Linked DNA regions of Coturnix japonica. The protein of the gene in region 1 interacts with the protein of each later gene in a pairwise test. Links are inferred from orthologs where the notes say so. Each region holds a gene or a part of one and is shown on either strand. Other genes may lie near its edges. The genes, in order: MAB21L3 and AGGF1.

What was found.
Region 2: the proteins of MAB21L3 (region 1) and AGGF1 interact in binary tests that used the Homo sapiens proteins (3 or more experiments, as listed by UniProt). The two-hybrid records come from large-scale screens. The link is inferred for Coturnix japonica from reciprocal best matches to the Homo sapiens genes MAB21L3 and AGGF1.

What each region holds. Positions count from the first base shown.
Region 1 is NC_029516.1:71,932,087-71,935,908, reverse strand, and holds part of MAB21L3 (protein mab-21-like 3), read left to right. Parts: intron 1-764; coding exon 765-946; intron 947-1,624; coding exon 1,625-1,819; intron 1,820-3,063; coding exon 3,064-3,297; 3' UTR 3,298-3,822.
Region 2 is NC_029547.1:11,956,144-11,959,965, forward strand, and holds part of AGGF1 (angiogenic factor with G patch and FHA domains 1), read left to right. Parts: intron 1-610; coding exon 611-712; intron 713-1,053; coding exon 1,054-1,219; intron 1,220-1,474; coding exon 1,475-1,557; intron 1,558-1,786; coding exon 1,787-1,914; intron 1,915-3,222; coding exon 3,223-3,322; intron 3,323-3,822. UniProt on the Homo sapiens protein: Promotes angiogenesis and the proliferation of endothelial cells. Able to bind to endothelial cells and promote cell proliferation, suggesting that it may act in an autocrine fashion.

The DNA.
Region 1 (3,822 bases):
AATGCTGCCTAAACAGTGATCCTCATATTTAATTCTGAGCGTCCTAAAGGCATGTTATAGACTTCAGCTAATGAACACATGGCTTCATCCAAGCTGAACGGTTTGTGTTCATCTTTTCACATTAAGATACTGTGACATGGTCAAGATCAGACTATGGTGCCTTTTCTCACATCGTGTTTCCAGAATGTCTTTACCCATCAGCAGCCTGATATGGGTCTTCTGTATTCTTGAAACATAAACATATTTCACCTCCTCTGATGGCACTCAGTGGATATTTCTTCTGTGAAAACAGAAGTTGTTACCATCCTAAATGTTCATCACTGCTCCTTCAAGTCTGCTGCATGGACTCCTTTTGGAACTGGAATTCCTAGCCAGTGTCAGTCGAATTGAGGTGGATTAACACACAATTACTTAAACTGCTTATGGTAATCTGCTTTGTATTTACTTCAGTGGGTTAAAGCATGATCACATCATTGGCTCAGACAGCAAAGCTGAAGGAACAGTGATCCATCCTGAATGACAGGGACAGAAGCTTCTTCCATGCACACAGTTGGACCAGCATTGCCCATATTTACTTTCTCCTCTGTCCTCCTACCTCTGGGCAGATTGAAATAAGCTTTTTCTTGTGTTCCACTATGTCACTGAAGAGAAGACAGCAATGGAACTGCAAGTCTCAATTTGGACATGGGCACTACGCAGCCCCTTGCTTGGCTTGAGGAGAGGACCTATTCACCTTTATCACCTTTCACGTTGTTCCTTGACAGACAAAGTGACGGTGCTGGAGAGCTTCAGCTCAGTTGTGCGAGTGGCTGTGGAAACATCAAAATTCCAGGTTGAGGTGGAGCTGGCCCCTACGGTGGAGATTCCAACTTGCTGGCCTGAGAAAGCTCGGTGGCCTCGTTGCCTCAAGCGTTGGCCATCCCAGGAAAAAGTGCAGTGCGTCAAGGTGAGCAGTCTAAAGACAACTGTAAGGTCTGTGCAGAAATTTCCTTTGCAGGTATGTGATGGTGGTTTGGAAGGCTGTAGAGAAGAAATATTTCAAATTATTTGGATTTTATTGAGAATTTCTTTCCTTAATGATGGTGAATTCTCTGGAGGGAAAACTGATTTAACTGTCTGTTACATGAGTTTCTTGCAAATAGCTCTGGCCATTTAACTGAGTGCATTTTTTCTTGCTGTTCTGCTTTGTCTCATGTGATCTTTCTGCAAGTGGAGCACTATCTCAACATTTTCCTTCTGCCCTTCTCCTGTTCCTCCCCTTGGCTAGATTCTGGCACTCCAGATCAGCTCTACTTGCCATGATCTCACACATCGAGTTCTGACTTCCAGTCTGGCTCCCTACTTGCTCATGACCTGCTGCTCCATGGCAAAGTGCCTGTAGAGCTGTGCCTCAGCTTTAGCAGCACTGTTTGTACTGCACCTGGCACCTCTAGAGCTGAATCTCCTGGGAGTAACCAATGTCACCACATGAGGAAACAAAACAAATTGCTTGTTTCATCAATCAGGAGTTACAATGGGAGCATTAACCATGTTTGCTGCCTCTGCTAGCATGCAACATCCCTCTGCATTACTCAGAGAAATCTGCCTCTCCGATCTAGCGTCACACTTTCCATTTTGTCCACAGTCACTTGGTTTTGACCTCTTGGCCCGCTCCAATTATCACTGGCAGCTGTGCTTCTCCCGTGCTGAGCATATGCTCATGGAAGGCCTCGACGAAGATGGTGGTTGCCGCATGAAATGCTTCAGAGTCATGAGACAGATGAAGGAGGATGTCTGGTGTGCTGGAAATAAGCCTGTCATCACAGCTTATCACCTTCAGGTAGGCATCACTATGATATCAAGATACAGTCTCAGTATCTGTTATAGGGGAATGATGTTCATAATTAGGAAGTCTGAAAGACCTGACTGGAATAGCAGCACTATTTTCCTTACCTCTGGAAACTTCATTGTAACAACTGCCTGTAGAGAGAACACTAAGAAACTGAGTGGGATTCTTGCACCCAAGATTAGTGAATTTTTTGTTTTAGAAATGATTTTCAGGTTGATTAAGATGGTCAATATTGCTTTTTTTAGTACAATAACTGTAAGTACCTCCAAAAAAATTCTTCACAAACATAGCAACATCTGTAAAAATGCAGTATGGGCAGGATAAAAATAATACCATGGGAGCAGTAATCATATGGAATTCATTTTTTTTATCTATTGATTTTTCTTTTTATGCAGGTAGATAGTGATAGGACAAAGGGGAATGGATTTAAACTGATAGAGAGGAGGTTTAGGTTAGACGTTAGCAAGAAGTTCTTCACTTAGAGGGTGGTGAAGCACTGGAACGGGCTGCCCAGAGAAGCTGTGAATGCCCCACCCTGGAGGCATTCAAGGATAGGCTTTATGGGTTCCTGGTCGGTCTTTATTTAGTGACTGGCAACACTGCCTACAGTAGGGGGTTGGAACTAGATGGTCTTTGAGGTCCCTTACAACCCAAGCCATTCTATGATTCTATCATATTACATGAAATAAACTGCAAGAAAGAGATCATAACACATGCTGTATTGTGTGTCGGAAGAAAACAGGCAAGAGTTGCTTGGAATCCCAGTACATTCAGAAAGCAAATCTGTGTGCATCTTCAGCACAAGTATGGCTGAAGCTAACAGCTATGCTCATACGATTATTATTCTCTCCCTCCTTGCACCTACTGGCTTCTACACTTGTACAATAGACCATTTTCTACAGCTTAAAACACCTGGCATTTCTGTGGAGGTCCCTGGCCTTTGCAAATCCTCCTTCCCTGCCTGCTCTGGCCATCTGTGCAGGATCCTTGGTGTGTCCAGTGAGGTTTGCAAGGCAAAGGGAAGGGGGCAGCCAGGGGAAGGTGAAAGGGCTCTCCCTTAGGTTGTTGGTTGTGATCCCTTTGTTGCAGAATCGTTAATGCAGGAAGACTGCAGTGCCAGGCATTCCAGTTTCCAAGGCTGTCAGCCACTTACCAGCACTTAAACTGCCTTAGCAAGCCGTGTGAGCCCTCGGCAGAACCTCTAACACCTCTTCTCTCCCATCTGCTTCTTGCAGACAGTGCTATTCTGGACGTGTGAAAAATACCCACGCACCAAGGATTGGCGCTGCTTTCACGAAGCCTTCCTGAGGCTGGTGCAGAAGCTGCACAAGTGTGTGAGCCAGCACTTCCTCAAGCATTACTTTGTCAAGAACACCAATCTGCTCAAATATGCCAACACCAGTGACCTGGACACGGTGGCCAGCAAGCTTGCTGTCTTCTTAGAGAACCCGGCCTTCTGCTTGGATTAAGGCTGAAGAAAGCTTCCTCACCTCAAATTTGAGCAGTTTCCCCACCTCTTCTCCTCATTGATGGTGTTCTTGTCCTTCCAGGAGGTGTTGCAGCTGGCTTTCTGAGGCAGTTGGCACTGATGGAATGAACAAAATGTCAAGATTGCAGCTGTGGGTGGAGAAAACTGATGGAAGGCATTGCTTGATGCCCAGCCTATCTAATTTGCTTTCAACAGCAACAGCTTGCCTAGAAGCTACAGCCTGTGAAACTCAACCCTGTGTCAGTCAGAGCAGCAACTGCCTTATTCTCTGTCTCCAATCTCGTGGCACATAAGCAGAAAGACGGTGCAAAGAAGTCTCACTCTGCTACCTACCTGCTGTGCAACCTAGCACATGGATGGTGGTTGTTTAAAGTGCCCGTGTCTTTTTGGGGTGTTGCATAGGAGGAGAATACTTTTTCAAGGGCTCATAGCTCCAATATTCCCAGCGCTTTTAATATTAAGAAAAGAAGTTTTAGGCTTTCAGAAGAAGCAAGTGCTAGAATGA
Region 2 (3,822 bases), on another chromosome or scaffold:
GTGTTTTGTTTTTAAGATAGCTGTATGAATGTATAAGTGATGTACAGAGCGTTTGAAAATACCAGTTTTTTTGAAGTTACATTGTTATAGAATTAAGAAGGATTAAAAATAAATTATTTGCTCAAGTTTGCTAACTACTGCAACACAGACTGTAAATACAGTAAATATAGCTCTCTTAATTCAGTGTAAGTTTAAGACCTATAATCTTAACAAAAAAGTCGATAAAACACCTGCAAATGCATGGATCTTAAATAAGCTTTGCTATGTCTGTTCTAGGTGATAGTTCTAACTAATAAGCAGCGTAACATTTTATACTGAAAATTTTTTAGAGATAATCTTTTCCTGCTATTGATGACATTTTCTGGCTTGTATATGAAACTGGGTTATAAAACAGCCAAAGAGTTTTTATATTTTCCCTTCTGCTTCTTAGCATAGCTAATAATAGCATAGCTAATAATGTTTCAATATTTATATATATATATTTATACTTATATATTTGTATATTTATATATTTTAGGCTCGCAAATACATTCTGAAATCTTACTTTAAAACAGTATTTAAGTTGTCAAGTATTTGCTTAATGAGAACATTTCACTTTTCTATTTATCAGTTCCATGCAGAAATATATTTTGACCATGATTTGCAAAATTATGTTCTTGTGGATCAAGGCAGTCAGAATGGAACAGTTGTTAATGGAAATCAGATTTTACAGGTGAGTATTTGCTGCTACGGTGCTGTGTACATTGCAGAAAACTAATTGTGTGGTTATTTTAAATGTGTCATGGCAAATTGCTAACAATATTGTTGTTCTTCAATCTCCTTCAGGTCCTAGGGCCATTCTTTATGTTTTACATTGGCTTTATATTAGGAATTAGAAAAAAATCTACTGTTGTTGGAGTTGCTAGAGTGAAGAACCCACTGTATTTTAAACGTTTACCTGCATTTGTTACTTCAGACTTTATCAGTAAATTATGAGCAGTATTCATGTAATAGCATTGGTGCCCTGCATTAGTAACTAATAACTATGGCTGCCAAAACTTTCTTTTGCTGTAGCCTAAAACGAAATGTGATCCATACATCTTGGAGCACGGTGATGAAGTGAAGATTGGTGAAACTGTGCTTTCTTTTCATATACATCCTGGCAGTGACACTTGTGATGGATGTGAACCGGGTCAAGTCAGAGCACATCTTCGCCTGGATAAGAAAAAAGAATCTTCTGGTTAGTTACCTTATCTTTGAATATGGTGGGGGTTTTTTAGTATTATCATTGATTTTTATCTTATAAATAATATGTGTATATATATCAGAGTTCTGTTACGATTTTCTTCTCAACTGAGAATAGCTCTGAAATAGACAATAATATGTTTTCTTTTTGGCATGTGTCTGTGTAATAATCTTAGAATAAAATTTTGTCTTATGGTGGAAAAGAGTTACACTATTAATTAGAAATTGAATCCTGTGTTCTTCCTTTTAGTTTGCCCAGCACTTAGCAAAGAAGAGAGAGAGTTGGTCAGAAGAAAAGCATTAAAACAAATACGGGTCAAATATGGTTTACAGGTGAGTTTACAGAAAATTAAGTGTTTGAGATCTACTCCTACCCTGTGATTCCTGTTTAAGCAGTAAATTTCAGTGAATAAAGAAAGCTTTCGGAGTCATGAGTCTCGTGGTTTAACTCAAGCATGTCATTTGTACACTAAATCATTATTTACAGATTTCTGAAGACAGAGCAGGGAGGTCATCAGAAATAAAGAATCTAAATATTGTTTGTCTTTATTTTGTTTTAAAGAATACAGAGTATGAGGACAACAAAGCAGTGAATAATCCAAAGTACAAAGACAGGGCAGGAAAACGCAGAGAGACCATTGGAAGTGAAGGAACTTTCCAGAGGGGAGATACTCCAGCTTCTGTACATATGTAAGTTTGTGGATGTTGAAAATAAATAAATCTTCAGAGTCCTCTAATGAATAGTACAGAACTACAGTAAATATCAATTACTTATTAAGATACAGTTCGTTATCTTACCTGTATACAGTGTATTAGGAGAACTAGAAAACAGCTATTCTCACTTCCCAGTTCATATTAACTTCTTGCTTTTCCTTACGGAATTCAGCTTGGCTGTTATGATGGCTAAATCACTGTCCTATCTCAAAAGATATGGAACTCAGCAATTGCACTACTGACATCTCTGACACTTTGAATAGCCTCAGTTTTTTGTCTCATCCCAGTAATGGCACATAGGCAAGATTGCCTATGCATAATTTCTTTTTACTGCTCACTCATCCAGCATTTCTTAGTGTATGTATATTTTTACCTCTTCAGTCACACTTATTTTAATCTTCCTTCTTAATTATTTCTTCTCTAGTTGCTATCTTGTTTTAAAGAAACATGATCTTGTAGGTGCTGGTAAGTTAGTAAAAGGAAATGTGAGACAATGAAATGTGTGTTGAGTGATTTCGTGGGAAGCAGTGGTCCTGCCTTCTCATTAGTGCAGTTGATTCCCACCCTCCTGTGCTGTATCTTTTAGGTCCCAAAGTCAGCAAATAGAATGTGGAATTAAGAAGGCTGGTATTGACCAGAGTCTTGGAATAGCTTTGGTATATTTATGAGAAGAATAGCATAGAATCATGGAGGTTGGAGAAGACCTTCAAGATGAACAAGTCTAACCTTCAGCCAGACCTACCAGGTTCCCTGACTAAACCATGTCTGTTAGTGCCATGTCTGCATCTCTTAAATGCCTCCAAGAATGAGAACTCTACCTCTCAGCTGGGCAGCCCGTTACAGTGCTTAACCACCATCTCCATGAAGAAATTCTAAACCTACAGTACTTGTGACTGTTTCCTTGCATCCTGTCACTTGTCACCTGAGAAAAAAGAGCAAAATCTCTGCAGTCTTTCACATATTTGTGGAGAGCAGTTGAGGTCTCCTTCTGGCATCCAGACCGAACAACCCCAGTTTCCTCCCATTCTCCTCATAAATTTTGTTTTCAAGTCCTTCACCATTCCATTGCTCTTCACACTTTTGAGCAACTGGATGTCCTTGTAGAGAGGGATCCAAAATTGAACAAAGCATTCAGGAACTTGCAAAGAAGGCAGCAGGTCCTTCTGGGTAGCTCTTGATGGAAGAGTGGTTGGGTCCTGGTTTCTAGAGTTGCATATCCTTCAGTATTTCAGTACAGAGCATATATTTTGACTCTTGCTTATCAGTCTTAAACTTTCTTTACAGTGAAATCAGCGATAGCAACAAAGGACACAAAATGTTGGAGAAAATGGGATGGAAAAAAGGGGAAGGTCTGGGCAAGGATGGCAGCGGTATGAAGGATCCAGTAAGTGTTTCTGGTTTTTGCTTAGAGTACAAAGAAATAGAAATGCATTTGCAGTACAAAATGTCTAATTATAAGCAATGATTCACTTTAAATGTTTCAGAAGTCTTAGTGGGAGGGGAGTAATCTCAGTAGGACTAACCTCAGATCAGTTTTATCGGTGAAGTAGTCTGAAGTTTTTAAATGGTTTAATCACAGTAGAAACTGACAGTAATATTCACGGTTGTTAGGAAACAATGGAGGATGAGAGATACTGGATTAATAATCTCCAATTTGAGTACAAAGTCTGGAGGAAAATTGAGTCTATGTAAGTGATGTGAGTACAAGAGAAGGAAGCCAATGAGAGGAAAAACTGGCCAAAGCCACAGATACCTAGATTACAGATTATGATTTAACACTTTAACAGTACTTTATATGTTTGTGTATGACCTAGGTAAATTAGTATTAGTATACTTTAAGTATTTAGAATACCTAACACTTGTAACAATCTTTAATGTATTCAA